4 linked regions of the Astyanax mexicanus genome follow. The main gene of each other region encodes a partner of the protein of the gene in region 2 in a complex. Links are inferred from orthologs where the notes say so. Each region holds a gene or a part of one and is shown on either strand. Other genes may lie near its edges.

Region 1 (8,083 bases), on a different chromosome or scaffold from region 2:
GGAGTATTTTGGCTTTAAGCCAAATGAGCGAGGAGAACCATCAGCACGAATCAGCCGGTATGTTTATTTGTTTCACAACAGTGGAAACAAAAGCCACTAACCTGAGATCTTATTTAAAGCACAACCATCCAGCTGAATACTGAATATAAAAATTGTTCCCCCAGAGAGATCCTGCCTCAAGCCCCACACGGTAAACATGCTGGTGTTTCTTGCTCAGAATTTGTCTGACAGTTACATTAAAAAATACATTTCTAGCTAAAGCTCTGGCCTGATGAGCTATCTGTGTGTCTTTGATCATATGCACAAAGCTAATGTGTGTTTTACTGCATAAATACATATATGATCAGAAAAAGGAATCTGCAAGTGCCCGTGTGTTCAGAGTTTTTTTTTTTAATAATTAATGTAAATGTTACATTAATCTATTTGTTGTTAATTTATTTTTTACAATAAGGGTTTAATATTTAGTGCAGTTTTTTCAGAACCCAGGGTGGGTGTACTTTATTTGTTTATTTAGGATATTAAAATATTTTTATATTGGGAGCCCAATGTCTGCACTTAATAATTTAAAGTTAGTTTATCTGTAAAATGGTGTAATAGTATTATGCTAGTATATTATTAGTGTGGCACATTGTCTTAAAGCACCTTTGGGAGCCCAGAAGCAGGAAACAAAAAATAAAATCTATAGTGGTGCTTTAAAATGACGATATTATCGTTTATCGCAATAATTTCTGGGACAATATATCGTCCTGAAAATTTTGTTATTGTTGGCCTACGTATGACAGTATGAAACACTTTGAAAACCCGCCCAACCCTAATTTGCATGAATAATCGATGAAATTACTGTAGAAAAACGATAGGGATAGCACGATAAACACTTTATCGTCCCCACAATATTTATCCTCATATAATACAGCACTAGTTTATAATATATACTTTTCATGTATTTAGTCCGACCATTTGAACCACACTATAATCCTGTTTACACAGTGTCACTTTTATTTCTTAGCCTTCTGACTAACTGAAGGCTATCAGGTGTAAATGCATGTGGGTAAAATCTAAAATTTACACAGCCTCAACCTTCATTTATATGTGGTGTGGTTCATGTAAACCCTGATGATGTATTTAAAAAGGATTACTACAGCTAATACACTCTGATTAAGCTCATTTTAAGCTTTGTGTTCTGAAATTCACAACATTGTCTCAAAAAAAAGGATGCAATCAAGAGAAGACAAAAGAAGAGAGATTACTAGAGAGATATTTTTAAATAGCTGTGTAGTGTTTTACACTGATAAATTAAAAGGATCAGACTCATATGGCAAACACTCACCTGAAAAAGAACATGACCGTACAAGGGTCATACAACTCGTACATCTTGTTAAAGTCTGGCACTTCAGTGATATCCACCAGGTAAATGACGGCAAAATTTTTGACCTGGGATTACACAGGAGAAAAGACAGAATGAGACAAATTACAAATTCTACAGTACAGAAATCTACCCATTTTTAGTAAGATACAAAAGCAAAATTGGGAGCAAAAGCAAAGTAATGATTATTTTAGATAAACAAGCATGTAGTCACCTTTTCAGCAATACTGTACAAAACCTCGTCCATTTTCATGCACGTGGGGTCCCAATCGTGACCAAATCGGATGACGAGCACACGGTCCTCCTCGGACAGAATGGCCTGGTCCACTTGCCAGCCGTTGTGGAGATGTGGAAGCATGTACGACATCTTGGCTCAAAAAATATTTTCCCTAAAGTAACACAAGAAAGACGAATGATGGTTCAGAATGTGTGCTGTTATGTTGTAGATCAATAGTTTTTAATCCAATCAGCTCTCACTTCTACCCCTAAACCCATACATCACATTGTCCTTTCCAAACTACCCCTCACTACTGCACATGAGGGTGGAGTTGGCTAAAATTAGGGGGCTTAGTTAAAATTGGTGTAACCGGATCTTTTAACTATGAATCATTTAACCGTTATTTTCACGCAGTAACAGATTGAGGGTAATTTACATTTAAATAGAAATTAAAAGCAAGAATTTAATCATGTGACCTAAAATAAGTAACGTCAAACAAAATCAAAATGAAATTATAAAAGCTTTAGAAAAACAAGATAAGATTTAATTAAGAAGAAATACAAATAAACTGAATAAAAGGATAAGTGCACAGGCTAAAATGTAAAGCAATAAAATTAAGAGATAAACGATTAGAATAATAAAATATATTAAATAAATGATATTAAAAAGCTTAAAGGCCAAAGGTAAAACAAGGAAAACAACAAATATAAAGACAAAATTAATAAAATAAATAAAACAAATTAAAAGTCTAAAAGGTAAAAACAGAAAATTAGATGAATAAAAAGAAAAAGAAATATGATTTAGTGACTCCGGTGAGCTGTGTTTTAGAGTTTCCTGACTAACTACTTTTAATTGCGGCTCGTTTTCCTGACATTAGTGATTAAATGCAACAGTATTTGGTTTTGTAAATGTAATTTTTTGTGTATTGATTTTTAATAAAGAGATGAAAAGCAGTGAAATGTAATGCAATAGTGATCATTTAATTTTGGTAAATACAGCTGCATAATGCAGCTGGTGGATTGTATTTACATTTTTTCCTCGGTTGTGTTTTAGCTTTTTAATCAGGCATTAATTATTTTCAATATAAATCACAGTTACAGTGTATATTCATGATTATACTTTATATTCTCTACTTTAAATAGAGGCTAGATAACCGAGTTTAGCTTAGTTTAGATATCAGCTTCTTAAAATTTCTGGAACACTCCAGGCAGCTATGCTAAGCTAAGTAGTTTGCTTACTACTAGTCTGGGTATCTAAACCCGTTTACAGAGTAAAAGTAAAGATTTAAGTAAGTAAAAACAGATTTAAAAGGGACAATGTACAGTAAAACAGATGAGTAACGTGAATATTACCTTCAGTAAGAGGAAATCAGTGTAGTTTGTGTTTATTTGTGCTGCTGTTCTCTGCCTCTATCAGACCTCCCCCATCCGCCGGAGCTCTTCGCGGACTGAGCAGGATACGGAAGTGACGACACACACGTGCGCACGGAGGCGCGTACTCACGTAACGTGGGTACACTATACCGGTGCGTCTCAATGAAATAGAATATTATTAAAAGTAACTTTATTTCAGTAATTCAGTTCAAAATGTGAAACTCATATATTATATAGATGTATTAAACACAGAGTGATATATTTTAAACGTTTATTTTCTTTTATTGTTGATAATTATGGCTTGAAGCCAATGAAAACCCAAAAAAAGCAGTGTCTCAGAAAATGTTAATATTATACAAGAATGATTGGTGCATTTAGCAGTGTGCCAAGTCCTGCTGGAAAATGAAATCAGCATCTCCATGAAAGTTATCGTCAGCAGAGGGAAGCTGTAAGATATGAAGTGCTGTAAGATTTTGTGGGGAAACAAAACTGACTTTAACAAAACAAGACTTTAGACTTGATAATAAAACACAGTGGATCAACACCAGCAGATTGAACTGAATTGCTGAAATAAAGGAAGTATTAAAGTATAGAGCAAAGTTTTCAATGATATTCTGATTTTTTGAGATGCACCTGTATTGTCTATATTGCGAGAAGAATTCTATCACCCACCTAAATCATGGTACTCAGGTGTTTCAATCACGTATTTCAACCAAGTTATATAAATAAAATATAGATAACAATTGTTTAGGGGAAAACAATGAGTCAAATACCCTGTGATGCTAAATGTGGAATTAGGGCTACTTTTCACACTGAATTACACCCCGATATTGGACAAATTTATATTAATATTTAAGAAACACAAGGTAAATGTTTATTGGACTTTGTGTATAATTTACAGGACAGTCAGAAAACATATAAAAGCCTAAAAAATCTTAAAGGAAATGCATCATTTTGGATAAAAATTAAAAGGTCAAAGGCTTATCTAATTAAAACTATCAGATGAAAATATTATATGAGCTTAAAATCACCCATCTCAAAGAATTGCCCCTATGTATTACGCACAGTTGTCTTTTATACTGAATCAAACTTTTACGAACAACGAACCATACAAAATGATTACTATTGAGAAATGTCTTATGCATTGATGTATGAAGTCAAAATATTAAATAAAATGTTTTAAAATAAAGCAGACATTAACAGCACATACAGTGTTTCAAGGTGTAACTTTATTTTGCATTCTTTCTTACATAGTGCCCTTACAAATGCTCCACTATGCAATCTGCCTTGTTTTTTAAAGAGATAAGCTTGAAATCAAGTTGTGAGCAAATATGTTAAATCTTTTAACAGTCTTACATTCCACTATTACAAAAACCAAATGCTCATGAACCATGCTTACAAATGGCAATGAAACAACAGACCGCCATGCTTACAACAGAGTGGTACCTCAGGGCTGGTAGGCCAGAGAAATGAAACAGTTTACTGAAACTTGTACAGTGGTGTAGTAAGCTACCAATTTCAGGGCCAAGCCTTTATTTAAAAGGACTTATCGCTATCCCAATGTTTCAAATCATCCCGATCCAGAGACCCACGAAGTAAGAGAGTAAGAGACCATGATAGAAGGAGGCTGAAAGGGAAACTCATGTTTAGGCACAATTCTATGTAAAGTAACACACACTGACATACCATACTGACATATCATGTAGGCACAGAATAAATGAGGAAGCACTTAAACAGAATACTGGAACCGTACAGGAAAGAAAACGGGTAACTTCTTAAATACGTTGAACTACACTACTATGAAAGCGCTTTAACTAAATGCGCCTCAGTTTTATATTAATATCCAGGTATAAAAAGTTGATAATATGCTAAAATGTAAAAAACAAACCAACAAACAAACAAGAACGAACAGAAACAAAGTGAAGGCAAAAGTAATAAACACACTGTAAAACATGTGAGTTGTCTGAATGTAATGGGAAAACATTTCTCAAAGTTTTAACAGTACTGTGTAGAATGACTACTAAAACTAATATTACTGAACAGCATATAAGTCCAGATGCACTGTAAGTTCAACTTATTATTTAAGTTTACTTCCAAGAAAAAGGAGTCTACACAGATTTCTAAGGAAATGAACGTGGTCCTGTGAGAACTGATCTACCTTTAATACAATATACCTTGTTTTTGCATTGTTTTGAGGAGTCTCCCACTCCATTTGTTCCTGTTTCTGAATTATTTATTCATCTTTAAAAGAAAAACAAAACAAAACTAGTCAACCTCTCGGGCCTCTTCGCTCTGACCATTTTGTTCTGGGGTTTCAGCTCCCGGGGTGTCTTGTTCCATGTTTTCTGGGTCTGGCGTTTGTGCTTCCGGGCTTTCTGGTTCCATGTAATCTGGGTCTTGGGTTTCCGATTCCAGAGGTTCTGATCCCGCGGATTCTGAACCCGGGGATTCTGGTTCTGTGTCTGCAGAGGTCTTCTCCGGCTCAATCTGGGGAATAACCAGGTCGTGCTTCAGTTTCAACAACTCCGTCATTTTGAAACCTAAAAGCACGGCGGCTCTGTTTTTCTGCAGGTGCTTCATGCATCTGGTGCGCTTCGATCCGATCTGGCAGGCGATGTCGGTTTTGTTCAGCAGTAGGCGATTACTCAAGGCGATAATCTCCTTCTTGAGCGGATAGGGCTGTTTGTTGAAGTACTTGTTCACAAAATCCCTCCGATCTTCAAATGACCGTATATCCATTCCAGCAGGGTCCAAAGCGAACTGCACTGAAGGATCAACCTGCATATCAGGCGACGGAGGAGTCAAACCTGCTAACCTGTCTCTCTCCAACTTCCTTTTCCTTGCTAGCCTGGCCTCTCTTTCTTTCTTGTTTGCCGCTATGGCCTCCTTCACGGCTAGCTCCAGCCTCAACTTGCTCTGCAGTTCCGCGGCTGTATGCGGGGACTGGATCGCAGGGACCGAGGCTTGGACTGGAGCTGGAACTTGAATCGAAGACTGTCTTGGAGGTGGAGGAAACGAGAGCAGCCCTTGGCTTCCTCTGGGCGCAACGGCTAGACCAGAACTCATTATCCTCTCGGCATCTCTAGGGGTCTTGGGCGCAGAGCGACACTTGGATATGTGGACGGAGATTGCCTTCTCTGTAGTTTTCCCCGTGTACACTCCACCACAGTAGACGCACTTGTATGCCGGGGATTTGAGTATAGCATGAAGGGTAGGTACAATGTAGTGCTTCTCTCGGAGGTGAAGCTGATAACACTCCATGTTCAGCTGCTTTTCAGAACAGAAAACACAGTCTAAACTGTCTGGTTTTGGCATGGGCATCTTGCACACTTGCTGAGGACTTGCAGGCAGCATCTTCAAGAATATCAAATCAAGGGAGTTGGTGACTAGAGCCAAGTTAAGCTCCTTTTCTCCCATCATCTCCTTTGGCGCTGTGGTGTTGATGTCAAAGTAAGGGAACAGGAGGCTGCCACTTTCGTCAGTGTAAAGACGATACTCTCGCCTCATGAAGTCACAGTTCGCCTTTTGGTTGGGATTGTGATCCATTTGGATGTGCGCAACCAGCTGCTTGAGAGAATAGAACATCCCTGAACAGTACAGGCAGTTCAGGCCGTGAAGCAGATGTTCAAAAAGTCCTTTTTCAGAGAGCAAGATCTTGCACATCAGACATTTCACAGTCTTGTCTGGCATCTTCTTCAAGAAGGGTGCTCGGGCGGCTAGGCCTAGCTTGGTCTTCTTGGACGCCTCTTTATGGACCTCGACGTGGGATTCGTATATGCTGGATGGGAAAAGCTCATTACAAACAGGACAGGTGACCCATCTCTTGGTTTGCTTGGAGTCCTGGGAGCCATTGCTGGCCAAGGCGTTGTGCTGAAGTGTGGGGACATGATGCGGCACAGGCAACGGCGCGTTGTTGGCCATTTGCATGTTATTTGGCCGGACAGACAAAACATGCAGTGGCGCAAGAGTGTAGGTAGGTAGGCCGTCCACTTTGTTGCCCGTGGGAATCAGATGACTTAGGAGAGACTGTGATGTCAACATGGTGCCCCTAGGAGTTGGCTGGTTCACAGGGAACCGTGGAGATACAATCAACGATTGCGGTGTTGGTGGTGGTGGTGGAGGTCCTCTTACAGATGGCACGTTGAACTGCATTCCTGGCGGGACCAGAACTTGACGGGAAGGAGGCTGCATCTGACCAGGCACTCCCAACCTGACTGGTAGCTGCTGGTGTGGCATAACCGGATGCATTGCAGGCGGAGGTGCCATGCCTCCCATGACAGGTACCGTGGCAGGTCCAGCTCTTGCAGCTTGGACGTTATGCAGATTCATTGGCTGGCCAGGTTGCAGCAAACCCTTTGCTTCAGCACTGGCAAGCTGAACGAGGGCTGAAGCTTGAGCGGGAAGAACAGCTGGGTTCTGCCCGGGGGGGCTGTACAGTCTAGGACCCCCGTTTGTGACTCCCGGCATTACCGCTCCTGGAGGTGGAACAGGAGTCACTATCGGTTGGCTGGTCGGTCCTGCGATAACGGGACTACCTTGCGCTTTCGGCGCAAGAGCGGGAAACATTTTCTTGTTGTCAGTCTCGAAAATGAGTACGTTGATGTGAAATTCCAACTCCTTGTGCTTTTCAGAAGTTAGAATATGATAGAGCAAGTGCTCAGAAGTCTCTGCATTTGCACCACAGACCTTACAGAAAAACTTCTGGTACATCGGCCCAAGAGCGTGCAGTTCACTTTCAGTCCTTTGTGCGGCAAAGCGATTTAACAGGGAGGTGTAATGATTAATGAGAACATGTTTCTTCATGCTGTACAGGAGAGTATCGTTAAAGGGACATTTTCTGCACTGGAAAATATGACTCCCTATAGCTTTAGTGGGCAACTGTTGTTGTTGTTGTTGTTGTGGTACTGGTTCATACTCTGGTTTCGGTGGTTCAGCGTGGAACAGTTTATAGTGCTTGGCGATCACCTTAGGGTGGGCGATAAACGGGCAGCCGGAACAGACGGAGAGGCTGCAGAGACGCTGCTCCTCGTCGTGGCAGCGATGAATATGAGCTCTGAAGGAATACCAAGACCGTGTTGAAAATTTACACAGGGAACAGCACAGGCCTCTTGTCCGATATTCCCACTGAAGA
Region 2 (7,996 bases):
TGAACAGAATTATATTTAAGTTCATTTTACTTCAATATTCAATACAAAGAGGACATTATTCATATATTTCAATACAAATAAAGTAAACTATAAACTAGTATTTACTTAAACTTAAATAGTTTAAATTCATCTAAAGCCTATGATATGAACTACATGAACATATGAACTACAGGCAGCCATTGGTCAAAACCCAAAATAAACCATAAATAATACCTATATGTAGCTACAGAAAACATTTGCCAACACTTGAACACAATTGAAAAGGTGGGAATGTCTAGATCGTTTTTACAATTTCTGACTAGACAGTTTCTTAGAATGCTGCATTTCACATCAAACTGCTCTAAATACCTTTGTTTGCATCATAGTGCTTTGCATCATGCTTTCAGGATCCTAATATGTATACGCGGCATTAAAAATTTCATTCTTTCAGCCAATAAAGTATCATAAACAAAACTTAACAAAAAATGTTTATTGACATCTTAAGTCCACTGCATATCATATGAAAACAGACAAATCAGGTGGTAAAACCGGAAACCAAAACACTTAAACCAAGACTAGTTACTGTGACAAAAAGGATGCCATTTTGTGTATGAAGTGATGAACTTAAAATCTGAAACATCTACGGCATCCCAAACTCAAATTCAATTTAAACAAAATTATTTTCTATAATGAATGCCTGTGAAAGGCGTTGAAACCTGAAAATCTTCTTGTTTGCATATCACATGAACTACGAAGAAACTAACATTTTTATTGTCTAAAGAAAACCCCCATGATACATGTGATGCAAAAGTATCTTTTATACGGATCTGTACCAAAAAGAAAACTGCTGCATTAAAATCAGACTGTGGGTTCTGCAATGCGATGAGAAGTTAGACGGAAGTCGTCGGGTAAGAGCAACAAACTACAGCGAAAGACAAAAAAAGAAAATGATACTGTGTGTTCAGTGCTGGTTTTTGACTCCCTGTGGTTTACCAGGCTTTTTGTCTTGCTGCTGTCCACGGCCAGTGCCTGGCATCCCTCTTCCACGGCCCCCGAACACACCTGAGAAAACAAATTACACTTACATCCACTGTACAAATGCTAAATTATTTTGTACTCAATTGTTGACCAACAGCAATTCTTCTAACATTTTTTGGGCCATATAGCCATTTCTGTTTACCTCGGCCAGCACCGCCTCCTCTGCCCTTTCCCTGCTGTTTGTTCTGCTGCATGCCACCCCTGCCACGGCCTTTAGAGAGAACCTCCTCTTTAACCATGTCAATGATTTCATCAGGGATTCGCAAGTATTTGATCGTGCTTCCTCGGATGTAGCATTCAGGCATCCTCCAGAACTTATCTCCATCCTGCATAAAACAAATGTACAAACACTAATAAAAAAACTGTACATAACCTGACCCATGAGTTTGGTATACCTAATTAACTGTTGACTCTACTTACCCTTGAGGTACAGATGACTTCTCGTAAATTAATGTTCATCCAATTGTCACAGCTGACCAGATGACCGTTGTACGTCTCCCCATTCTTCAGCTCCACTAGCTAGAAATAAAAAACACATTACACATATAGCCAACAATACTATACAAACAATACTTTTCTAAATAACATTTAGAACATTTAGTAATCTCATGCAACCCAGAAAAACAATTTTTCCTTTCCTTGTTTAAAAGTGCTTAGCATTTCAAGTACATGCAGTCAGGCTAAACAAAGGCTAGACACATGTTTTTAGGTTATAACAGACTATTACATATAAAAATCTATTTGGTACATACCATTGGGTGGTTTTGTGCTGTTTTCAGTAAAGATAGCGGAAGCTGTAAGAAAAAAAACAATTTACTCTTTGCTAACAGTAAGATAAACATTTTTGTAAAAACAAAAAAAATTCTAGTCAAAATATGTTGAAAAACATTACATTTTTCAATATTCTGCACTGCAATAAATTAAAATCAATAGGACTAATAGTGAGACCTTCAGATGGTTATGGTACTGAAACAGCTATGTGCAACATATTACAACAGCTAGAATGCAATGCTGCCTCAAACTCAAATTATATTACAGTACTTGCAAATAAAAAATCCTTACCACATAATTTACAAAAATGAAAACTGTGAACCACTTAATACACCCCACTAATGCACTTATGCTGCGTTCTAGTCCTGTCGGAAATATTGCATTTGATGTTGAAACTGGGGTTTTCATCAAAGGGGCCCCCTGATTTTTGCTGACTCAACCCTCAGCTAAAGCTGGGGGTAGTTAAGGGGCATTGGGTGATGTATGGGTTTAGAAACAGGGCAGGAGAGAGAGCTGATTGGCTGAGCAGCAGTGTGCCCTGCAGACGTCAGCAGGGATGGTGTGGTATTGACTGATTTGCATATTGCCAGGTGTCTGAGAACCAAAGTACACTTTGGAAAGGTTAATTAAGCAGGAGTGGTAGTTTTCATTAAAAGGAAAACATTTAAGCTATTAATATAATATAATATTATATTATATTATAATATATTATTCATATAATATAATATAATATAATATAATATAATATAATATAATATATATATATATATATTCAGTATCCACAACATTGACGAATCTTTACCTCCACTCCAGCGCTCACAGAGAGTTTATTTTAGCCTGCAGTTTACAGCTGGTAGCTAACCTATGTAGCTTAGCTAAATACAGTGGCATTCGCATTATATGTAAACATTAACATCTGCAGAACCTGTTTCTCGATTATCATGGTTAATTTAAGAAGCTGGTTTGAATCCTGTAAAAACGGAGAGCTCAGTACGCTTTAGCTCATGTTACTGAACGGCGACTCGCTAAGTTAACTATGCTAAGCTAACCTAGCTAAGCTACTGGAGCAGCGGTGCAGTGCCGGCGGATGGTGTAAATTAACTGTGCAGCTAAATGAGAGTATGTACTTACCATGTCGGCAGGCTGAACGAACTATATAGTTATATAAATTATAAATTAAACCGCAGTAACTAAAGGAAAATAATCTGTTATAAGTTTCAGTTCAACAAAAAGCGGCTCAAGCATCATACTCTGCCAGCGCCACTAGGCTTCATCCGGGTTATTAATGCGCTTTCCGGCAAACTTCAAAATAAAAGCTCAATAAAGTCGGTCAGGATAAATATGCAGCTCTGGAAAAATTAGCAGACCACTTCAGTTTCAGAATCAGTTTCTCTGATTTTGCAATTTATAGGGATATGTTAGAGCAAAATGAACATGATTGTTTTTCATATAAACTACGGACAACATTTCTCCCAAATTCGAAATAAAAATGTCAATTTTCGGTGAAATAACCCTGGTTTTAATCAGTTGTCTGGCATCTTGGCATGTTCTCCTCCACCAGTCATACACACAGCTTTTGGATAACTTTATTACCACTTCTGGTGCAAAAATTCAAGCAGTTCAGCTCGGCTTGTGATCATCTATTTTCCTCTGTTATATTCCAGCTATGTTCAATTAGGTAAAATCAAAGAACCTCGTAATGTACACTTTGTTTTGTATAAAAATCTACTCTTTTGTCATTATGCACCCATACATATATTTTTACCTCCCCTTTACATCACCCTTATCAGCTCTACCTACAATATCCAGGTAATTTAGGCAATGGCTGTGCTTTCTTGCAGAATCTCGTCAAGGTGTGGAAAGGAAACTAAAATAATTTCTAATTCACACTACATCCTTTTAATTAATGGCAATTTATTGTGTCAACAAGTAAACATTTACAAAATGTTAATTAAAAAATACATTTAATACAAATTAAACCTTTGCAAAAAATGATCCATTTATTCACATATGCACAAAAATGTACAGCGGTCAATGCTAAACATGCAGATTTATGACTGTCTGGGAAGTGTGGCTTTGGTTTTCTTTCCTTTCTTTTTAACAAGCTTTCCTTTCTTCTTCTGATGAATAATTTCCTGAATTCTCCCCTTTCCTTCTGCTTTTCCCTTTTTTCTTTTAGCAAGTTCATTTTTTCTCTTCTCTTCAAAGTCAGGATCCTGCGGAAAAAAACCCACAAAAACAGCATTAAAAACGAAAGCATTTGCTGACAACCTGTTTTCACATTATTATACCATATAGTGTGGAAATATCAGCTCTTTGTTCACAAAACGGTATCCTTCCATTTCACTAACAGTAGTTAGAGCCTACTTACTTTCCCTTCTAGGATCATTTTCTTCTTTTTGTTTATTTCCTTTTTCTCCCCAAAGTCTGTTGACTCCAATTTCTGCAAACAACAAATAAATACAGCTTTAACATTTATTCATCATTGATTTGACTCACATGTGTAAAAAAAGAAAAAAGAAAAGAAAAATAACATACAATTTCACACTGTCGTCGCGTCACATTCACTTGGGTAAGGATCTTTAGCACCTCCTTCTCTTCCACTGGGTACTCCTTTAGCTTGGTCTCTAAAAAAAAGAAAAGCAGATATCCACATGCAGGTGTCAAAAATATATAGAGCATCTGCACTTTGTAGTCCCTATTTCAAAACATTTAAATAACTAAAACTCTATGCAAAGGCTGTGCATAAATGCTTTTCTGTAATAGCTTAAAAAAAGGATCGCTACTATGTGTCCAAATTTGCTAAATACTTTACTTTTAAATACTCAGCAGAGATTGGCTTTACTTAGTATGTCTATGTAATACTGATTCATATGAAAATAATTGAACAGACAAAAAACGTATTGCTTTAACTGTGCACTTACGGATCTGCTCCTCAATAGCATTGACCAGATGAATGTCATACTGTGTGACCAGTGTAATTGAAACACCATTTCTTCCTGAAATCCAAAATACATCAATTAAGGACTGCTTTTTAATGCAAAACCAAACATTGGACTAATCCTGGAGGAAAAAACATACACACCGGCACGGGCAGTCCTGCCCACTCTATGAATGTAGATTTTAGGCAGTCCTGGAGTATTATGATTAATGACAACCTGCACTGTAGGAATATCCAGACCCCTGAAAAAAATAATTAAACAAACACAGTTTTATTGACATTTTAGATATATTATCGATAAGTTAATTAAAAACAGACAAATTTAATAGCACTCAGGGTCAAAAAGTACCTGGCAGCAACATCTGTGGCTATCAGGATCTTGAAAACATTGGACTTGAACTTGGCAAGGTTTGCAAATCGTTGTCTCTAAATAATACAAAAGTACCAATGACTTAAATACATTCATATAAAAACATTAATATTAAACATACTATAAATATCCTTATTAGTGTATAATACAATGCATATATCTGCTATACCTGTTTCATCATGGAATGCAGGGAGATTGCGGGAAATTTAAATTCACGAAGCATCATTGTAAGAATTTGGCAATTTCTAAAAAGGAAAAAAATCAATAAAATCTCAAATTAAATTAAATACTTGCAGTTTGCAAAACCTTCAGTTTTAAATACCCATACATATTAAATAGGAGAACTTACTTGCATGTGTTGGTGAAAATCATGACTGACCAGTCATCATGTTCATCTTGGATTTTCTGAATAAGATGCACCAAGTAAGCATCTTTGACTTTCTCAGGTGTAAGGATGTATCTTTGATCAAGCTCATCCACTGTTCGGACCCTAGAGAGAGAAATGCATAAATAATATTTGTATCAATTTATGCTCGTTGGAAATGTAACTACTGACAGAAGTTAAAGTAGCAATAAACGAGAATTTGTATTTCTTGTTTCTGGAATCCACCTAAAGTCAGAAAGTGTATTCTGCACTTTAAGCTGCCTCTCATGCCATATTTCCTTATTTGTTCTTTGAAAACATATGGAACAGAGCAATACCACTTATTACATAGGTACTGCAGCATTACACAACTGTCACAAATATTGTCCTGCCCACTGCACCATAATTACATAATGCAGAAACCACTGTGGCAAGCCCAGGGTGGCAGTGAGGCAGACACTATTCTCACTACTACAGGCATTAGTATTACAGCTTATTTTCAGGTAACAAATGATACATAACACTACCTAAACTGTGTTTTCTAGACAAATATTTGGTTGAACATGAGGGATATTATAGAAAACAATTTGAAATGATACAGTATGTTTATATTATATACAATCAAGTAAAATTATATATGTTAGATATTTCCACTACCAGATCAGGAGAATCTCTCGCTATCTTTAAGAGACTCCTGAAGACAGAGCTCTTCAAAGAGCACTTACTCTCCTAACACCTCTAACAAACTAACTACTTCTAACCCCATTTCCTTCTTCCCCTCCTTCACTTCTCTATCCCTTTATTTCCCTTCGACCTCCTTTAAGCCCTATCTAAAAATGGGTTATCTAAATTCCTATTACTTTTGTACTTCATTATTGTAAGTCGCTTTGGACAAAAGCGTCTGCCAAATGAAATGTAATGTAATGTAATGTAATATTTAAATATCTAAGCATTAATTACAGAAATCTTTGAATTTAGGTTTATATTTCCTTTGGCAGGAAGCATTCTAACAACATTAGAAGAAAATTCTCCTGATTAACTTTGTGAATGTGATTCCTTACTCTGACTTGTTCTCCCAGAAGAAAGGCTCATTCATAGCAATGGTTTTTAGCTCCTGCAGTGTGTCCGTTAGTGTGGCGCTGAACAACAGCGTTTGCCGTTTTGCTGGCACAACACTGATAATAACTTCCAGGTCCTTGGTGAAGTCTGTGCATCCCTGCTCAAGCAAACGATCTGCTTCATCCAAGATCTTAAGAAAGATGTTTTAACAACAAATCAATAAACACATATTTTCATTTACATGGAACAATTGCCACATTCCATTTTTAATAGAAAAACTGCACAAATGCATTCATGAGTGTGGATCTTACCAAAAATTTGATTCTCTTCATGTTGAATGTGTCAGAACTCCGAATGTGATCTGCTAATCTCCCCGGAGTGGCAACAACAATGTGTGGCTTTTTAGACAGCTCCAGACCCTGGGCCACCATGTCTTTTGGGGGGGGAAAAAAAAGTCTTTCTTACAAACTCTTTCAAAATTATTACAAAATACATTAATAAGGACAATAAATAGATACAACAGGGCTTTAATTTTATTTCCCAGCTAACTGTGGTAGCTTTATTATTTTCAATGTCATGCATTATTTCAATATGCAGTCATACCCATTCCCCCAACTATGATGCAGTCTCTCAAACCCAGTGGTTTCCCTAGTGCCCGGAACTGTTCAGCTATCTGGTAGGCCAGTTCCCTAAAGAGAAGAGAAGAAGAGAAGAAAGAGAAGAAAAACACATATAGCATAAGCACATATAATCAATATGCAATAATTATAGTCATGTAATATTCCTGTTTTTCCATTCTTATTAAAAACTCTCTCTAAAAGCTTGTATAGCGGCAGCCAACCTTGTGGGTGTCAACACCAAGCAGAAGATTCCATAGGGATCCTCCGCCAGTTTCTGAAGCACTGGTAAAACAAAAGCTGCCGTTTTGCCGCTTCCAGTTTTCGCACAGCCCATACAATCCCGACCTGCAGAAAACAGAAACAAAGTTACTATGGCCCTTTAATAATATTGTGGTCCTTTAAAAACAGTGGCAATTAAGCAACTCTGATTACTCAGTAACTGTATATATGATTTACAAAGTAGTGGCCATAAAACGTTTTCAGTTTGTCAGTGAATCAGGGCATTTCAGCCAAATATTGACCACATAAAGGGTTTTGATCAGAGCTATTTAAACCCTGCTTGCACCTTGCGAAGTGAATGACCGCATCAAGTATTTAAAAGAAAAGGCCAGTAAAGCATGTTAACATAAAGATATTGCAAAGGTTTTGATAAACAGGATAGTCAAGATTGTCTAGTAGTACAGTTAAATGTATTGTCATTTGTATGGAGTCACGGTCACATAAAAACCTTCTACAAATTAGCTACTTTACAAGAAAAAGGGAACTTTAATCCCAAAAAGACGTCAGCCCGAGTTTATCGTCACACACCAAACAAACCAATGGCAGTATAAGCAGTTTTGCATTGGCAAAGAGAA
Region 3 (8,022 bases), on a different chromosome or scaffold from region 2:
CAATATTTTTATTTGGAATTTGAGAGAAATGTTTATTCTACTGAAACATAAACCTATAAATAGCAAAATCAGAGAAATTGATTCAGAAACTAAAGTGGTCTCTTAATTTTTTCCAGAGCTGTATATGTATATCCATTTATATATTTTTTGGCACAAATTTGACTACAAATGCTAAACTTACTTTTGCCTTATGTGAAGAAATGTTAGTTATTATGTTATTGATGTAAATGTCTCCTCTTTCCTATCAGTCATCCATTCCAGGGACAGTATAGTGTGGCTGATGTGAAGCTGCGCTTGTCACAGTAAGTTCTGGACTCAAACGTCTTAAACTCTTAAACTTCTGTAACTTTATTTTTAACTCTGCTACTTTGCATTATTTTAGTATGTAAAAATTGACTCCTATAGAAAGTGAGTAAAGTGACTTTTTGATGTTTGAGTATGTAGAGTACTAGTGCAGCCTGAAGAGTTGTGTAGCTCGTTGTTGTGGGGAGGGTAAATAATATGCTTTAAATAAGTAGTACGACTTAAAAATAGGTAGTATTAATCAGTGAAAGTAATTTGAGTGTGTTTTTGTTCTAGTTCAGTGCAGAACAGTGAGCGGGGAAAAAAGCTTGGGAACGCTGTGATGACCACCAGCCGCAGTGTGGTGCAGACTGGAAAAGCTGTAGGTATGTATGACTAAGGACACACACACACATACACACACAAAATAATTTAGTTTGTTTGTTTATTTAACAATGGAGATTGGAAAGGGTTGCACATAAGAGTAAATAGTGTAAACAACAAGAATGCCAAGTTAATAATATACTGTAATTATCTTTTAGTATTATGAGACAAATACTGGTACTGCTACTACTACTGGTACTGCTACTACTACTACTAACTAAAATTTTTATTTTCCCAATTTGACCAATTCTATATAATTATAGTATTGCTTTTTCTATTTTCAATAGTTTTGTATACAAAAATATCTCCAAATATTTTGACACAACAAAAAAAATAATCATATCGTGATAGGAGTTATATTCTAGTTATTATATAATAGTAATATTCTTAAACTAATTGGTATTTGTTTTGCTTGTGCTTTCTGTATTTACATTTAATAGTTTGGTAAGTCTATGAAATAGATGTATTTATATTACATTTAATTTATAAAACTGTATATTTATTCTAAGTAAATCTTTAATGTTTATTTTGTTGTAGTAGTGTGTGTTTGAATTTTTTTTTAAATCATATCGTCAAAAAAAATATTGCAAGTGTAAAAATTTCCTAAAAATATTGTGATTATTTTTTTATGGCCATATAGCCTACCCTAGTACACTGTAATATTTGTTTTAGAATTATGATAAAATCTTGTTCTAGATTTATCTGCCACAAAATGCTTCATCTAAAACATTGCTTTTAATATTTTCAACTGTACTACAAATTTATGTGCACAATTTTCAGATTATTTATGAATATATGTGTACATTTCCCCTGCCCAGGTCAGTCAGTGGGCGGAGTTTTCACCAACGCTAAATCTGCCATGTCCTCCTGGTTCTCCACACTGGCCCCGCCCCCAGTGACCAATCCACCTTCAGACTCTACAGCAAACAAACAGTGACCTCTTCATGCCTCATTCACACTGTTCACCAGGATTCATCTTCACACTTATGGTTCTGGATGGTTTACTGTATTTTTATGATCACAGCATAAGTTTACTTTTACCTTTCTTCATCTTTTAGGTCAGAGAATCAATGTTAGAAGCAGTTCTACTGTTCAGCTTCAAAGTATTCAGTCTCGAAATGATTTAGAATTTGTCCAGTACACTTCCTACTTCCTTTAGCCATCTTTAAGCATCATCATGTCTAACCAAAATAATTAAGTACTGAAGCTTGTTGCCTTTAGCAATCCAGAATTATTTAAATATTCTACAGAGCTACAAATCATTATCAGAAATATTAACATCGTATTTGACATAAGATGAGTGGAAATAGTAACACTGTCACTGAGACAAAAGGGCAGTGTGGATTATGCTGATTCTTTTGCTTGTGTTTTAAATGAAGTACTTTTGACAGTCTCAGGTTTAGTCGCATTGACTCAAAGAAAGAAGGGATTTTACATTTGTAGCCTAAAAATGACATCAAACTATTAAAAACAACACACATGGAACTGAGAACTCAGAGATTTGCTCTCATATAACCATTACCAAGGTTTTAGAAACTGTATAGGCAGTTTCTTACACTCACAGCTTCTTACACTCACAGTCCATTTCTGAGGCTAGGATTTAAAAGCCCAAACAGCTCTGTAAAAATTAAGAGACCACTTCAGTTTCTAAATAATTTTCTCTGATTATAGGTATATTTATTTATAGGTATATGTTTGAGTAAAATGAACATTGTTCTTTTATTCTATAAACTATATACAACATTTCTCCCAAATAAGTTCAGAAATCAATATTTGGTGGAATAACCCTGGTTCTTAATCACAGTTTTCATGCATATTGGCATGTTCTCCTCCACCAGTCTTACACACTACTTTTGGATAACTTTATGCCACTCCTGGTGCAAATATGTAAGCAGTTCAGCTTGGTTTGATGGCTTGTGATCATCCATCTTCCTCTTGATTATATTCCAGTTGGTCAAATAAAAAAAAAACTCATCATTTTTAAGTGGTCTCATTTTTTCAAGGGCTGTATATTCAATGCCTTTCAATGAAAAAACTCTTCTGTTTAGCTGATGAGTTGACTCAAGTGTCTTTAATGATGTAAAACTCTAAAACCCTGCAGCACTGTGGCCTTGAGTCAACAGAGCTGGCCCATTCCAACCTGCAGTTTTAAAAAATATATGAATAGTTAAGAAAGCAGAACATAAATGTATGTGTGAAATTGTTATATAATAAACAGAGTATATACTATAATATAATGTAAAGTCTCACCATAGACTATTTAAGTGTTAATTTGTTTGGTTGGTTGGTTTTGACCATTTTCTGGGCTGGTTATCCTGTTTGTTTTCCTCGGAACATGTTTAAAACGTATAAAATGGAATATGGCTGCTGTGCTCTCATGTATATGTATCTAGTTTCTGTGTCATTAGCTTGTGTTTAGATGTCTCAAAACACACACACAGATTGTGTTTGAACAATCCTTGTGAACTCGTACAAGGCTTCCCTTCTAGGCTAAGTGAACCAGTACGTACCTAATGGCCTTATTTAATATGGCATTTTAAATTAATTAAACCATTTTCCCTTCTTTTGTCTCTCTCATATTGGTTATTAACACCAAAAACACATCTTTTATATCTGTTTCTGTTTTCTCATTTTCTGTTCGTTTGTGCTATTATTGTAAAATAATGGTCATATCTAATGGGATGACATGATCAATTTTATTGTTGTTCTTTGTGTTTAAATGTAGAGTGATTTCTGGTTAGTGTTTAAAGGGCCCATATCCTTGATTTTTAAACTATAAATAATGCACCATATTGTTTTTTTTTTTTTTTTTTGTGAAATTTTGTTCCATTTTCTCTCTTCTCTGTGTTGGAGCGGTTTATTTATTAATGTCCTTAAATTGCTTTTCACTTTATATTGAGGTATTTAGAGATATATCAAAAATGAACTAATGATGCAGATGCTGTTTATTTTTTTGGTGATCTACAATATTTACACATCATTGAGTTCCATCTATTAAATAAAATACTTTTGAAGACCTTATTTTTTGGATTAATGATTTGTATCTCTTTATGGTGCACATGAGAGGAATAAACATGTACAAGCTGTGCTGTATAAAAAAAAATATATATATATATATATATATATATATATATATATATATACATACACTGTTCGTGTATAAATGTTTACAGTAGAATTTTGCAGACATTGACTTCTTTTTGAGGTTTGTAGTTTTACTGGAAGCTTTAGTTTTAGAGTACCCCTCACCAATACAAAAGCACAGAACGAAATGCTGAGTTTAATATTGTTATTAATAATAAGTGTTCAGACTGTTTATTTACATTCTTATATTTAATTCAGTTTAACTTCTTTTATCATTTTGGCATGTTTTTTTGTTTTACAATCACACAAACCACTCTGACATTAAACGTGCTGTAATATTAGGTATGAACAAATCATTCATAAAGCCAGAGCTCTAAAATCTAGTTAAACCTGTCAAGGCTTTTAAAAACATACTGAGCCTTATGCCATAATGATACTGTATATACTCCCCAAATATGCCTTTGTGGCCATAAGGTCTTGTGAAAAAAAAACACATAAAAAATAAATCAAATTCAAGAAAAAGCATAATTATACCACCCCTTCTCATTCGATGTGTTTTCCTTCTTTTTATGATTTTTACATTGCAAATTTAATATTGAAGACATTAAAGCTAAACAGAAACTCATGCACAATAATTATTTATTATTTTTTATTGTCCCTTTCTACATGGCAAGAACATGTTAGGCTATAAGAAATGACTACAAGATTACCACATTTAACTTTAAGGACAGATTTAGGTTTAGTTTTTTTTAAACTACATATTTGTCATATGTGTTCCTGATTTGTTTTATGCCTTTAATGTTAATATGCAATGTAGAATAAATAAATAAATAAAAATACAAAATGAGAAGAGTGTCCAAACTTTATGCTGGTACTGTAGATATTAGAACAGTAAAGTAGTTAAGTTACATGGGTTTCTGTCGTGTTAGCTAACGTTATATTGTGTTTGTGAGTTCTGTAACTATCTATGAGTTTGTATGTTTTTTTGTATGGTTGCTTCAAGCTCAAAAATCAAGCTTTAAGAAGATTTTAACCCCCGTATCCAGACGCAGGCTGTGTTTCTGAGATGTTTTAACCCCGCCAGCAGGGGTCCCTCCTCAGATTCTCTAACAGTAGTTCTGGTTTAGTTCGGGTTCAGATTGTTTGCAAAATGGCGGCAACAGCGGCTTCAAACCCGTCCCAGCTCCTTCCTCTCGGTATGAAATGTTTAATTATATCAGATTAGAGACAGAAACAGCGGGTTAGAGAGAGTAATATCAGCAGAAGGGGTTCAGATTATGGTCTGATACGCATTTGCTGGTGTATAAAAGCTGTATAGGGTGTAAGTGGGCTCTGATCTCTTCACTGAGAGATAGAGGTGGGTAACCCAGGTCCAGAAAGTTAAAATCCATCCCAGGGTTTTGTCTCAGCTGCCTGTGCGGCTCAGACTGTTGCTGAGCTGCAGCTGAAAAACACAGCAAAACTCTGGGGTGGATTTTCAATTTCTGCACCTGGGTTACCCACCTCTAATGAGTGAACAGTGCAGGTTAATGAATAGAATATTAAATAAACGTTGTTTTTGTTGCATTAAGTATTTTATTGATATTAATGAAATAAACAAAATTTAGCCTTAATTAAACATCAACATTTCCCGAGTACACAAAGGCATCAGTATAATTATTGATAAAATGTTGGTTGACATTGAATCTTTTGAATAATTGAAGCTCTTTTACACTCTCAATTAATGTTTTTATGTGAAAGGTGCTCCCCACAAATAATAATATTCCTGTCATTACGTATCACAACATTTTAAATAAAAAATAAATTAACAAAATAATGTTAGTAATAATAATCTTATTTATATATTCAGTTTAAATATCAGGTTGTTACATTCAGTAGAAATAAACAAAAAAAATACTAATACCCATAATAACATAAAAATGCTTTCAAGAATACTTGACTTTATCATGATTATTATTATTATTATTATTATTATTATTATTATTATTATTTGTGTGTGTGTGTGAGAGAGAGAGTTTTGTCACATTTTTTTGCGATGTTATTGCATGCGATAGGATTTGGCGCACCCCTTCTTTTAATAATTAATAAATAAATTACTTAGGCTATAAGAAATGAATACAAGCAAGACATATTTAATTAATGTAGGTAAAATTGAATAAGAATAATATATATCTCACTTATTCTTGAGAATTTGAATAAAATATGTCCCACCAAAAAAGTGCTAATGGTGTTGGAAATAAAAACATTTATAAAATAAAAAGACTCAGGGGGATTTGATAGGACAGTTATTTTATAGGACTATTTACATTTTTATTCATTCAAGTCGTTCTATAATGTTCTGGTCTATACCAGTGATTAATACACCTTTGAATTACCTGATGTTAGCTGGTTGACCAGGCTTGCTGTTGACCAGCACAGGGTACGTTTCCAATCTTATGAATTTGATGGTTTCGCTGCTTTACGAGCATTATCACACTGTCTCAACTCTACTGGTTGACCAGCAATTCCAGCATGACTAAACATGATCAGAATAAAATATATACACTGCTGATCATGCATAGGCCATGTTTTTGCCTGGATGAACAGTAAAACCCATCTAAACAGCTGCCAGCTAAAGCTAGCATCATGCTTGAATTTTCAGCAAGGTGGTCACAATATTGAAAAAATGTTTTACATCTGATAAATGATAAATACTTATAAATGTTATACATCTTTATAACCACACACACTGTTCTGTTCATTTTCTTTTTCAGAGCTGGTGGACAAATGTATCGGCTCCCGAATTCATATTGTTATGAAAAATGACAAAGAGATTGTGGGTACCTTACTGGGTTTTGATGACTTTGTCAGTATCCTTTTACAGCTTTTTATTTTCCGTGTGATCGTTTCTGTCTTGCATTTGCAGCAGCAATATGAACACATTAAATGTACACAGACTGTACTTACACTTGCTTCCTTTACTAATTAATTCAGACATGGTACTTGAGGATGTAACAGAATTGTAAGTATTCATTTTTTTATTATTATTATACAGACACCAAAACAGGATGATAAGTACTGTGATGCAGGAAGATAACAAAATCCAGCATGATTTATTCATTATTATCATCGTTATTATTTTCAAATTACAAGATCCTACTTCAAACAGTACACCAGTCATCCACTACATTGCAAGCTCACATGAGTCATTAGTGTTTTGCTGAATTAGGTCTACAACACCACCAGAAGCTGAGCAGTAATGTCTGGCCCCCACTTCCCTCCAAGTTCATAGGATTGTACTCACAACAGCATTACTGATATCCTAACAGCATATGAACCAATCAGCCTAATCCCATTTTACCCATTGGCCCTACCACTTCCCCTTCCCCTTTCTTTTCAAGTGTAACCCTTTCCCTTGGAGCAGAGTTACAAGAGAAAGGGGTAAAATTCTCCCCCTAAGAATTGGTACAACCGTCATCAGGTGCGCTAAAGTTCAGTAACCTAGCTGTTGGCTAGCTAGGTAACTTTAGGGCATTGTATGTCTTTAAAAAGGGAGGTAGTGCAGAAATTAATTATTATTGTCAATTCCTTTATTCCTCTGTGATGGGGAGCTAAAATTAGCTTTAATTTATCTTTTCATTCCACCTTAAATGCTGCAGCCCCTGCCATCTGTTGCACCATTTAAGGTGGAACGGTGAAAGTTTGCTAGCTAGACTCTGCCCTGCTCCATCCAACATTCGTAGCTGTTACCACTGAGTAGATCTTTCAGCTACTACTGACCGTTCCTTCATGACTGTCATGAAGGAATCTATCTGCTGGCAACTTCCAATTTTGTGCATCAACCATTTACCAATATCAGTATGCTGCTCTCTCTCTACATTACACTGCCTCTTGTGAACAAATCTAATTGCTCTTCTGCCATTAAAAATGAGGAAGTTGTTAATCTTTAAAAGCTTCTTATCAAATGTATCTGCTAAGTGACCTAAATACCTGATTATGCCTCCACATATGACCCTGTGATTAAATGTCCTTTAAAGTTTCTGTATTCAGTATGAATTATATGAATTATTTATGTTTTTGTAATATTGCAAGATTTTGCCATCTTCCTGTATTATGCTATTTATTATGTTACAGTTAGGTCTGGGTGATAATACAGACATTTTGGATATATTTTCTTTCTTATTGTTTTACTTAAAAAGAAAAGTAAAAAGTAAAAAGAAATTTGATTTATATTGTGATGCATATTGATATCGACTGATTAGATTTTATCCATATTCCCCAGCCATACTTACA
Region 4 (7,969 bases), on a different chromosome or scaffold from region 2:
CCCATATTTTAGCCTTTTTACAATATGTGTTCTTGAGGACATTAAATAATAAAAATATTTCACAGAAAAAAATAAATGTAAATAACTTCTACACTATTATTAATTAAACATTTGCTGCTTTTTAAAAGGGTATAAATGCACTACTATGCTATTAGGTTTTTAATATACAAGTGTAGGAATGACCTAAAAATAAGGATCTAGTGATACAGACTGAATTTTTATCTGATTTATGTTTGTATACATACACACAGTAATTTGCCAATATAGGTGAATGGGATATAATAAATATAATACAATTATATTAATATAATAAAAGCCTACACGTTTTTAAGTGTGCTTTTGATCATCCAACATTCTGACTTCACTACCACTGAATGCAATCAAAGCCTTAATTGTAAAAATAAAAATCGAGTAAAAGGCCGTCTCTGGACAAAAGAGCCAGTTGCTTCAGAAAAAGCAGGATAAACTCTCTTTTGGATTTTGGAAAAAACATTAAATAAGATGGTGTTCCAATACTTTTTAATGCTTTATTTATAAAGCATGTAAGAGTTTGGGGTGTTTTTTGAATACTGGAACTAGTACTGTGTATTTAAAAGTTATATGAACATCAAACAGACACTGACTACAGATGTAAACAGAGACATCCTCATGAACCCATCCCCAAATTTCCTGCTCAACAGGTCTAGCAGAGGGATGAATACTCTGAAATTTCTCTGCCCTGCAGGCCCCCCATTCCACAGTTTCTGTAGTGATTGTAAGCTGAAATAATTTAAACAAGGAAATAACAAGAGATGCAAAAAACGTTGGGTAAACTAATTGATCTGGTCAAAAAAGGAAGAAAAAAAAACTACTTTGTTTTCCATATAACAAATTTAAGTAAGTTAAATATGGGGGTGCAGCATTTCTTCTTTACTTTAGGATTTTTGCAGCAGCAGCGGCACACCCAAACACCACCAAAACCTCCCCCGGGCTGATAAGAGACCTGCTATTTACAATGCAGTGAGCAAACAAACTGCAGGTTCAAGTTCATTATATGCTCTACTCACAAATGAAATTAAACAAAGCATTTCGCACCACCTATGCTTAGTTTAAGTTGAATTCACAGTTGAGGTAAATATGTGATTAGACTCGCACTGGTGAGGCACATTTATGATTAGAACTGCACTGTTGAGGAAAATATATGATAATGTACGATAATTATCATGACAGCTAAAGGAAGAGATGCCTAGAAATGAAGACAGCTGCAGGACAAGGCCTGGCAAAGCATCATAAAGGATAAATACCCAGTGTGTGGTGATGTTCATGGGTTCCAGAGTTCAGGCAGTCATTGCTTGAAAATGTTTCTCAACAAAAGATAAAAAACTTACATTTTATTAATGGTAAAGTTCATAAATTATATTTATATTTTTGTTTAACCCCCTGAATTTAATCTGAAATTCAATTAAGTTTAATTACAGTTCAGATGTTCAAATCCAGTGTGGTGGCATGCAGAAACAAAATTAAGAGCATTTTGTCACTGTTTAAATATTTATGGCCCTAACTGTATATTTGTTAAGAGGTTCAGTGAATGTTGCCCTTTATTGCTGTGTAATTATTTTTAACATTTTTTTTTTTTCAGCCTTCATTTTTAAAATTGTATTGATATATCTATTTATAAAACAGTTTATAATGGAGTGAATGGGTCAACAAACCTATTTAAATGCATTCAGATTAACAACTGAAACTGTCGCAACAGCGCCATCTACAGGTGAAAGATAGTATGTGCTACAGAGAGCAGGCGGACCAGAAAACACTAAGATACGACTAGAATAAGAATTAATGTCATTATAATTTTGGGTACATATCATTCTCATCTGTAAATGGAAAACCTCAGACCTTTTTATTTAGTAATAATAATTTATACATGTATTTATACCTTGACCTAACAAAAAGACTAAAGGTATATTTGTACATGAAAAAATATTTAATTTTGCTCCTTGTATTTTTGTGTACTGTGAGTTTGTTTTCCCTTTTACTGATTCAAACTGTCATTTAAATAAAAATCGAAAATAAAATAAATGTAAATATAATGAAATAATAATAATAATAATAATATAATTAATAATTATAATAAATAAGTTAGCCACTGTCTCTACGATTCTAGTATTAGAACAGGTAAGTCTAGTCTAAATAAAGACCAGTTTATTGACCATATTAAACGATTCACATTGTTTGCGCTGGTGATTCTATGGAACTCCTATAAGGCTACGTTTACATTAAAACTGAACTGAAGTGACTCAAATATAGTGTTTTTATAGCTGTGTGAACGTGCCAATTTCCTTTTTTTAATTAAATTTAAGTCAATTTTATATATGATCCTAAATCGGATACGTATCCGATCCACGGACATGCAATAAGAATGTGAACGGTCCAGCAAAAGATGCTCCACATATGCGCTGCGGACAAACGCATCCATTTCACCTTTATAAAGCTACGAGTCGTCTCTCAAATATGACGTTTTTTGTTGGTGGTGAAGAAGGCGACGTTTACGTTTTTCTCAAATCAATGTACAGATTCATTCACATTACGCACAGATACAGGTCACTTATATTTGTGAATGTGAACCGTCACCGAATCTGAACTGAGCAAGAATCGGATTTGAGCAACGTGGCTTGTAATGTGAACTCTGAATACAGCAGCTAATACTTTTCATTTCAGTTTTTAAAGCCATTCAGATATCTGACCACGTTTTACAGCACCAACTACATCACACACACAGTCTGTCCACACACTGTTCACACAGCTCGAGCAGTAGCAGCAGCAGCGCTGTTCGCGCGCTCAGGGCGGCTGCTGGAGTCACTGACCTGCCCTCCGATCGTCACGTCGAAGAAGACGATGGGGTTGTTGGGGTTTGAGGGCTGAACGTTCATTCTGGAGTAAAACTGCAGGTTAAAAAAACTTCAGAACAGAAACTTCACTCTCCTTCACGCTAACACAGGAACCCGTTTCAAACTGCTCCGCTACGGCAAGCGCGACTGGACATTTCTACGAGGCTCCACGAGGGACAAACCGAAAACCATTTTCGTAACGCCTCAAGACTAGCTGGTATATTTAATATTTTCCCCAATTTAAAGCAGAAATGACCAGTACATGTTTTTATTTTTACTTTAAACGTGGGGGGAGAGATTTTCCTTTTAATAATTAGAAGCCCTTTCCTGCATTCTGGTGTATTTTCTACAAATAGTTTAACTCCTAATTTTACCTACAATTTAACCTAAAAGTGTGTGCACAGAAACATAATTTACCTCATGAAAGATGCTTTAAAGTGTCACTCAGGTGGTTTAACTGTCCCTTTGGACACATTTTGGACATGTTTTGAGCAGGAGTCTAGCAGCTGTGCCCCATGAATCTCTTCCTTTCTCTCTGCTCCTACTCCTAGCCCCTCCCACTACTCAGGCTGTTGTCTGACAAGTAAATGAACCAATTATCTTCCACCAACTAAAAAATGTGGCAACAGAAATTAATGAATTAAAGTGTGAAAGGACTAAAAATTTTATCTAAAACTTTATTTAAATAACAGGGAAAGTCCCCAGAGCTACATAATAGTTCCTGTTACCCATATCAATTTCTAAATAATAATAATAATCTAAAACTGATACCAATCAAATCAATCAAAATTGAATCAGATAAATTTAGTGAGCTGCTCATAGTTTTGTTTTTTATTGTGGGCAGATGACTGTAAATATTGTAAAGTTAAAATCATGATGTAATGTGAATGACATAAGTGTCATAATTTTTTTTTTAACATTTTATTCCAGAAATAATGTCATCTATGGGGCGTACATTTTGTCACCTTGCAACCACACACAAACATATTTTATTAAGATTTTAGGTGATAGATTAACACAAAGTAGCACGTAATTGTGAAGTGGAATGAAAAATGATTCACTCAAAATTTTGTCAAATAAAAATCTGAAAAGTGTGATGTGCAAAAGGATTCAGCCCCCTTTACTCCATGGAACTCAATATACAGATCAGAGATAAAATTGTGAAGACATTTAAAGCAGAGTTAGATTATAAAAACATATCTCCTACTTTGAGCATCCTAAGGACCACTGTTTAATCCATCATCAAAATATGGAATAAAGTATTTTACAACTGCAAACCTACCAAAGACATGGCTGTCCACCCAAATTGACAGATCAAGCAAGGGGAGCACTAGTCAAAGACGCAGCTAAAAGATCCATGGTCACTGTGGAGGAGCTGCAAAAATCCACAGTTCAGGTCCACAGGACAACTTTTAGTTGGGGGCTCTACAAATCTTGCCTTTATGAAAGAGTGGCAAGAAGAAAACCATAGTTGAAAGAAAAACATAAGAAGTTTGCCACAAGCCTAAAAGCAAAGCGCTATGTGTAACAGAAAAGTAACACTGCTCTTTGCCCTGACACCATCCCCACTGTTAAACATGGTGGTGGCATCATCACGATGTGGGGATGCTTCTGTTAGCAGGAACAAGGAAGCTGGTGAGAGTTGATGGGAAGATGGATGGAGCTCAACACAGGGCAATCCTGAAAAAGAAAACCTGTTGGAGGCAAAAGACTTGAGACTGGAAAGAAGATTCACCTTCCAGCAAGACAGTGACCCTAAACATTCAGCCAGAGCTACAGTGAAATGATTTAGATCAATGAATATTAATATGTTAGAATGGCCCAGTCAAAGTCCCGACCTAAATCCTATTGAGCTTCTGTGACGAGATGTTTATTACTGTTCATCGACGCTCTCCATCCAACCTGACTAAGCTTGAGCTAAGTCTCTAGATGCACAAAACTGATAGACATACCTCAAAAGATGTGCAGCTGTAATTGCAGCGAAAGGTTGCTCTACTAAGTGTTAATATAGGGGGGCTGAATACTTTTGCACATCAAACAAGATTATTTGATTAAAATGTAATTTTTTATTGACTTTACAATTATGTGCTACTTTGTGTTGGTCCATCACTTAAAACCAATAAAATAAATGTAGGGTTGTGGTTGTAAGGTGACAAAATGAGAAAATGTTAAAGGGGTATGAATACTTTTGCAAGCCACTTTGTGTCACTTACGGACTTCATAAGTTAAAGTAATAGACAGACTGCTGTAAGATACTGAACAGCTTTTAAAGGGTCTGTGATACATAAGTCACATGAGCTTTTCTGGGTTAATGCATAGGTCCCATAATTTACCATTCAGTTTTTACCGAACGTATTTAATCATTTTATCAATTTAAAAACAATGTTCCCTTTAATGTAATTGGCATTGATTCCATGAGTTTTCTTCATACAAAAACATACAACATATTTTCCTTACCTTCAAATAAAACCTGAGAGGGTTCTAATTTAAGAAAATAAGAAACAACTTACTACACTGCTCAAAAAAATAAAGGGAACACTCAAATAACACATCCTAGATCTGAATTAATGAAATATTCTCATTGAATACTTTGTTCTGTACAAAGTTGAATGTGCTGACAACAAAATCACACAAAAATCATCAATGGAAATAAAATGTATTAACCAATGGAGGCCTGGATTTGGAGCCACACACAAAATTAAAGTGAAAAAACACACTACAGGCTGATCCAACTTTAATGTAATGTCCTTAAAACAAGTCAAAATGAGGCTCAGTATTGTGTGTGGCCTACACGTGCCTGTATGACCTCCCTACAACGCCTGGGCATGCTCCTGATGAGGTGGCGGATGGTCTCCTGAGGGATCTCCTCCCAGACCTGGACTAAAGCATCCGCCAACTTCTGGACAGTCTGTGGTGCAACGTGACGTTGGTGGATGGAGCGAGACATGATGTCCCAGATGTGCTCAATCGGATTCAGGTCTGGGGAACGGGCGGGCCAGTCCATAGCTTCAATGCCTTCATCTTGCAGGAACTGCTGACACACTCCAGCCACATGAGGTCTAGCATTGTCCTGCATTAGGAGGAACCCAGGGCCAACCGCACCAGCATATGGTCTCACAAGGGGTCTGAGGATCTCATCTCGGTACCTAATGGCAGTCAGGCTACCTCTGGTGAGCACATGGAGGGCTGTGCGGCCCTCCAAAGAAATGCCACCCCACACCATTACTGACCCACTGCCAAACCGGTCATGCTGAAGGATGTTGCAGGCAGCAGACCGCTCTCCACGGCGTCTCCAGACTCTGTCACGTCTGTCATGTGCTCAGTATGAACCTGCTTTCATCTGTGAAGAGCACAAGGCGCCAGTGGTGAATTTGCCAATCCTGGTGTTCTCTGGCAAATGCCAAGCGTCCTGCACGGTGTTGGGCTGTGAGCACAACCCCCATCTGTGGACGTCGGGCCCTCATACCATCCTCATGGAGTCGGTTTCTAACCGTTTGTGCAGACACATGCACATTTGTGGCCTGCTGGAGGTCATTTTGCAGGGCTCTGGCAGTGCTCCTCCTGTTCCTTCTTGCACAAAGGCGGAGGTAGCGGTCCTGCTGCTCGGTTGTTGTCTCCTGGTAGCGCCTCCAGCCTCTAGACACTACGCTGACAGACACAGCAAACCTTCTTGCCACAGCTCGCATTGATGTGCCATCCTGGATGAGCTGCACTACCTGAGCCACTTCTGGGGGTTGTAGAGTCCGTCTCATGCTACCACGAGTGTGAAAGAACCACCAACATTCAAAACTGACCAAAACATCAGCCAGACAGCATAGGTTCTGAGACGTGGTCTGTGGTCCCCACCTGCAGAACCACTCCTTTATTGAGTGTGTCTTGCTAATTGCCAATAATTTCCACCTGTTGTCTATTCCATTTGCACAACAGCAGGTGAAATTGATTGTCAATCAGTGTTGCTTCCTAAGTGGACAGTTTAATTTCACAGAAGTTTGATTTACTTGGAGTTATATTGTGTTATTTGAGTGTTCCCTTTATTTTTTTGAGCAGTGTATATAAGTTCTATATAAAATACTATATAAAAGGTAGATTAATTTAAAAGCTCTCAATTAACAGGTGCAATAAAGTGCAATAATCTGTATTATAATACTTATAATATACACACACACAATAAGCTTTAATTCCAAAATCAGAAAAAGAAAACATCATTTAAAATTTCAATTTAATGAAAGTTCTTTCAAAACATATAGTACAGCATCATGTAGCATGTAAGCCATAATTAATTTAATAAAATGACCCACATAAAAAAGGAAAGAAAAAACAACAACAATTTAGACAGAAGAAGGTCCCTTAAAAGGGCAAGTGTCCAGCGAAGATTTCTATCTCCTGGGCCAGTTGTGGTGAAATCCTCTGGAATTATACAAATGTATTAATACCATACAACAATGCTGTATAAATTAATACTACTTAATATTTAAAGAATCCGGCAAAATAATCCATGTATTCTATTACCTTTCGGACTTGGCAGGCATGCCTCTGCCTCCAGGACCCTGCCTGTGTCCTCTTGGGTTTTTCTACGAAAAAATAAACAGTTTTATTTTATCTCCATCCTCTCATAAACTGAATATTAAACTGCAGTCTATAGACTGAGATGAATAGCATTATTGTAGAATAAAAATAAAAAAAATAGTACCTTCCGTCTGAATTCATTAGACTGTCTGTTTGGGTCAAAGTGTTTGGAGTCATTGGGTTTACCCCCTGCAGAACAAAGCAAAAATAAGTAAAACCGTGGCTTAATACACAAACACACACAGCTTAAAAACAGACACACACCTGGAAGAGAGGAAACTCAATAAGCTGGGCTTTTTGAGACGGTCTCAAAAAGCCCAGCTTATTGAGTTTCCTCTCTTCCAGCCTTTTTGGTTGAGCTGAATTAGAGGAAAGGTACGATGGTTTCCTCTCTTCCAGGTGTGTGTCTGTTTTTAAGATGTTTTTAAGCCTAGCTTAGTTACTACAGCAAAATTTGCACTTGGACAAACCTGCTCTGTACCAGACTGGAGCTGAGCTTAGTTTGCTACTATTGGACTATTGAGGTCATAGACCCA

What was found.
Region 1: lsm4 (region 2) and txnl4a share a complex: the UniProt entries of both Homo sapiens proteins name them as parts of the precatalytic spliceosome. The link is inferred for Astyanax mexicanus from reciprocal best matches to the Homo sapiens genes LSM4 and TXNL4A.
Region 3: lsm4 (region 2) and lsm5 share a complex: the UniProt entries of both Homo sapiens proteins name them as parts of the precatalytic spliceosome. The link is inferred for Astyanax mexicanus from reciprocal best matches to the Homo sapiens genes LSM4 and LSM5.
Region 4: lsm4 (region 2) and ppih share a complex: the UniProt entries of both Homo sapiens proteins name them as parts of the U4/U6-U5 tri-snRNP complex. The link is inferred for Astyanax mexicanus from reciprocal best matches to the Homo sapiens genes LSM4 and PPIH.

Annotation. Positions count from the first base shown.
Region 1 is NC_064410.1:755,196-763,278, reverse strand, and holds the start of txnl4a (thioredoxin-like protein 4A), read right to left. Parts: upstream 3,068-8,083; 5' UTR 2,933-3,067; intron 1,753-2,932; 5' UTR 1,731-1,752; coding exon 1,578-1,730; intron 1,432-1,577; coding exon 1,328-1,431; intron 1-1,327. Other genes in the region: adnp2b (activity-dependent neuroprotector homeobox protein 2b), read right to left, coding at 5,218-8,076. UniProt on the Homo sapiens protein: Plays a role in pre-mRNA splicing as component of the U5 snRNP and U4/U6-U5 tri-snRNP complexes that are involved in spliceosome assembly, and as component of the precatalytic spliceosome (spliceosome B complex).
Region 2 is NC_064423.1:19,609,819-19,617,814, reverse strand, and holds lsm4 (U6 snRNA-associated Sm-like protein LSm4), read right to left. Parts: upstream 3,084-7,996; 5' UTR 2,923-3,083; coding exon 2,920-2,922; intron 1,812-2,919; coding exon 1,770-1,811; intron 1,537-1,769; coding exon 1,438-1,536; intron 1,344-1,437; coding exon 1,160-1,343; intron 1,042-1,159; coding exon 941-1,041; 3' UTR 455-940; downstream 1-454. Other genes in the region: probable ATP-dependent RNA helicase DDX49, read right to left, coding at 3,840-4,004, 4,160-4,231, 4,327-4,415, 4,713-4,787, 4,874-4,971, 5,079-5,155, 5,269-5,344, 5,449-5,589 and 4 more. UniProt on the Homo sapiens protein: Plays a role in pre-mRNA splicing as component of the U4/U6-U5 tri-snRNP complex that is involved in spliceosome assembly, and as component of the precatalytic spliceosome (spliceosome B complex).
Region 3 is NC_064422.1:19,670,995-19,679,016, reverse strand, and holds the start of lsm5 (U6 snRNA-associated Sm-like protein LSm5), read left to right. Parts: upstream 1-4,788; 5' UTR 4,789-4,900; coding exon 4,901-4,946; intron 4,947-6,503; coding exon 6,504-6,599; intron 6,600-6,723; coding exon 6,724-6,751; intron 6,752-8,022. Other genes in the region: late secretory pathway protein AVL9 homolog, read left to right, coding at 249-302, 580-668, 1,485-1,603. UniProt on the Homo sapiens protein: Plays a role in pre-mRNA splicing as component of the U4/U6-U5 tri-snRNP complex that is involved in spliceosome assembly, and as component of the precatalytic spliceosome (spliceosome B complex).
Region 4 is NC_064419.1:17,954,728-17,962,696, reverse strand, and holds the start of ppih (peptidyl-prolyl cis-trans isomerase H), read right to left. Parts: upstream 3,027-7,969; 5' UTR 2,910-3,026; coding exon 2,844-2,909; intron 1-2,843. Other genes in the region: exosc10 (exosome component 10), read right to left, coding at 7,244-7,274, 7,377-7,438, 7,558-7,622. UniProt on the Homo sapiens protein: PPIase that catalyzes the cis-trans isomerization of proline imidic peptide bonds in oligopeptides and may therefore assist protein folding. Participates in pre-mRNA splicing.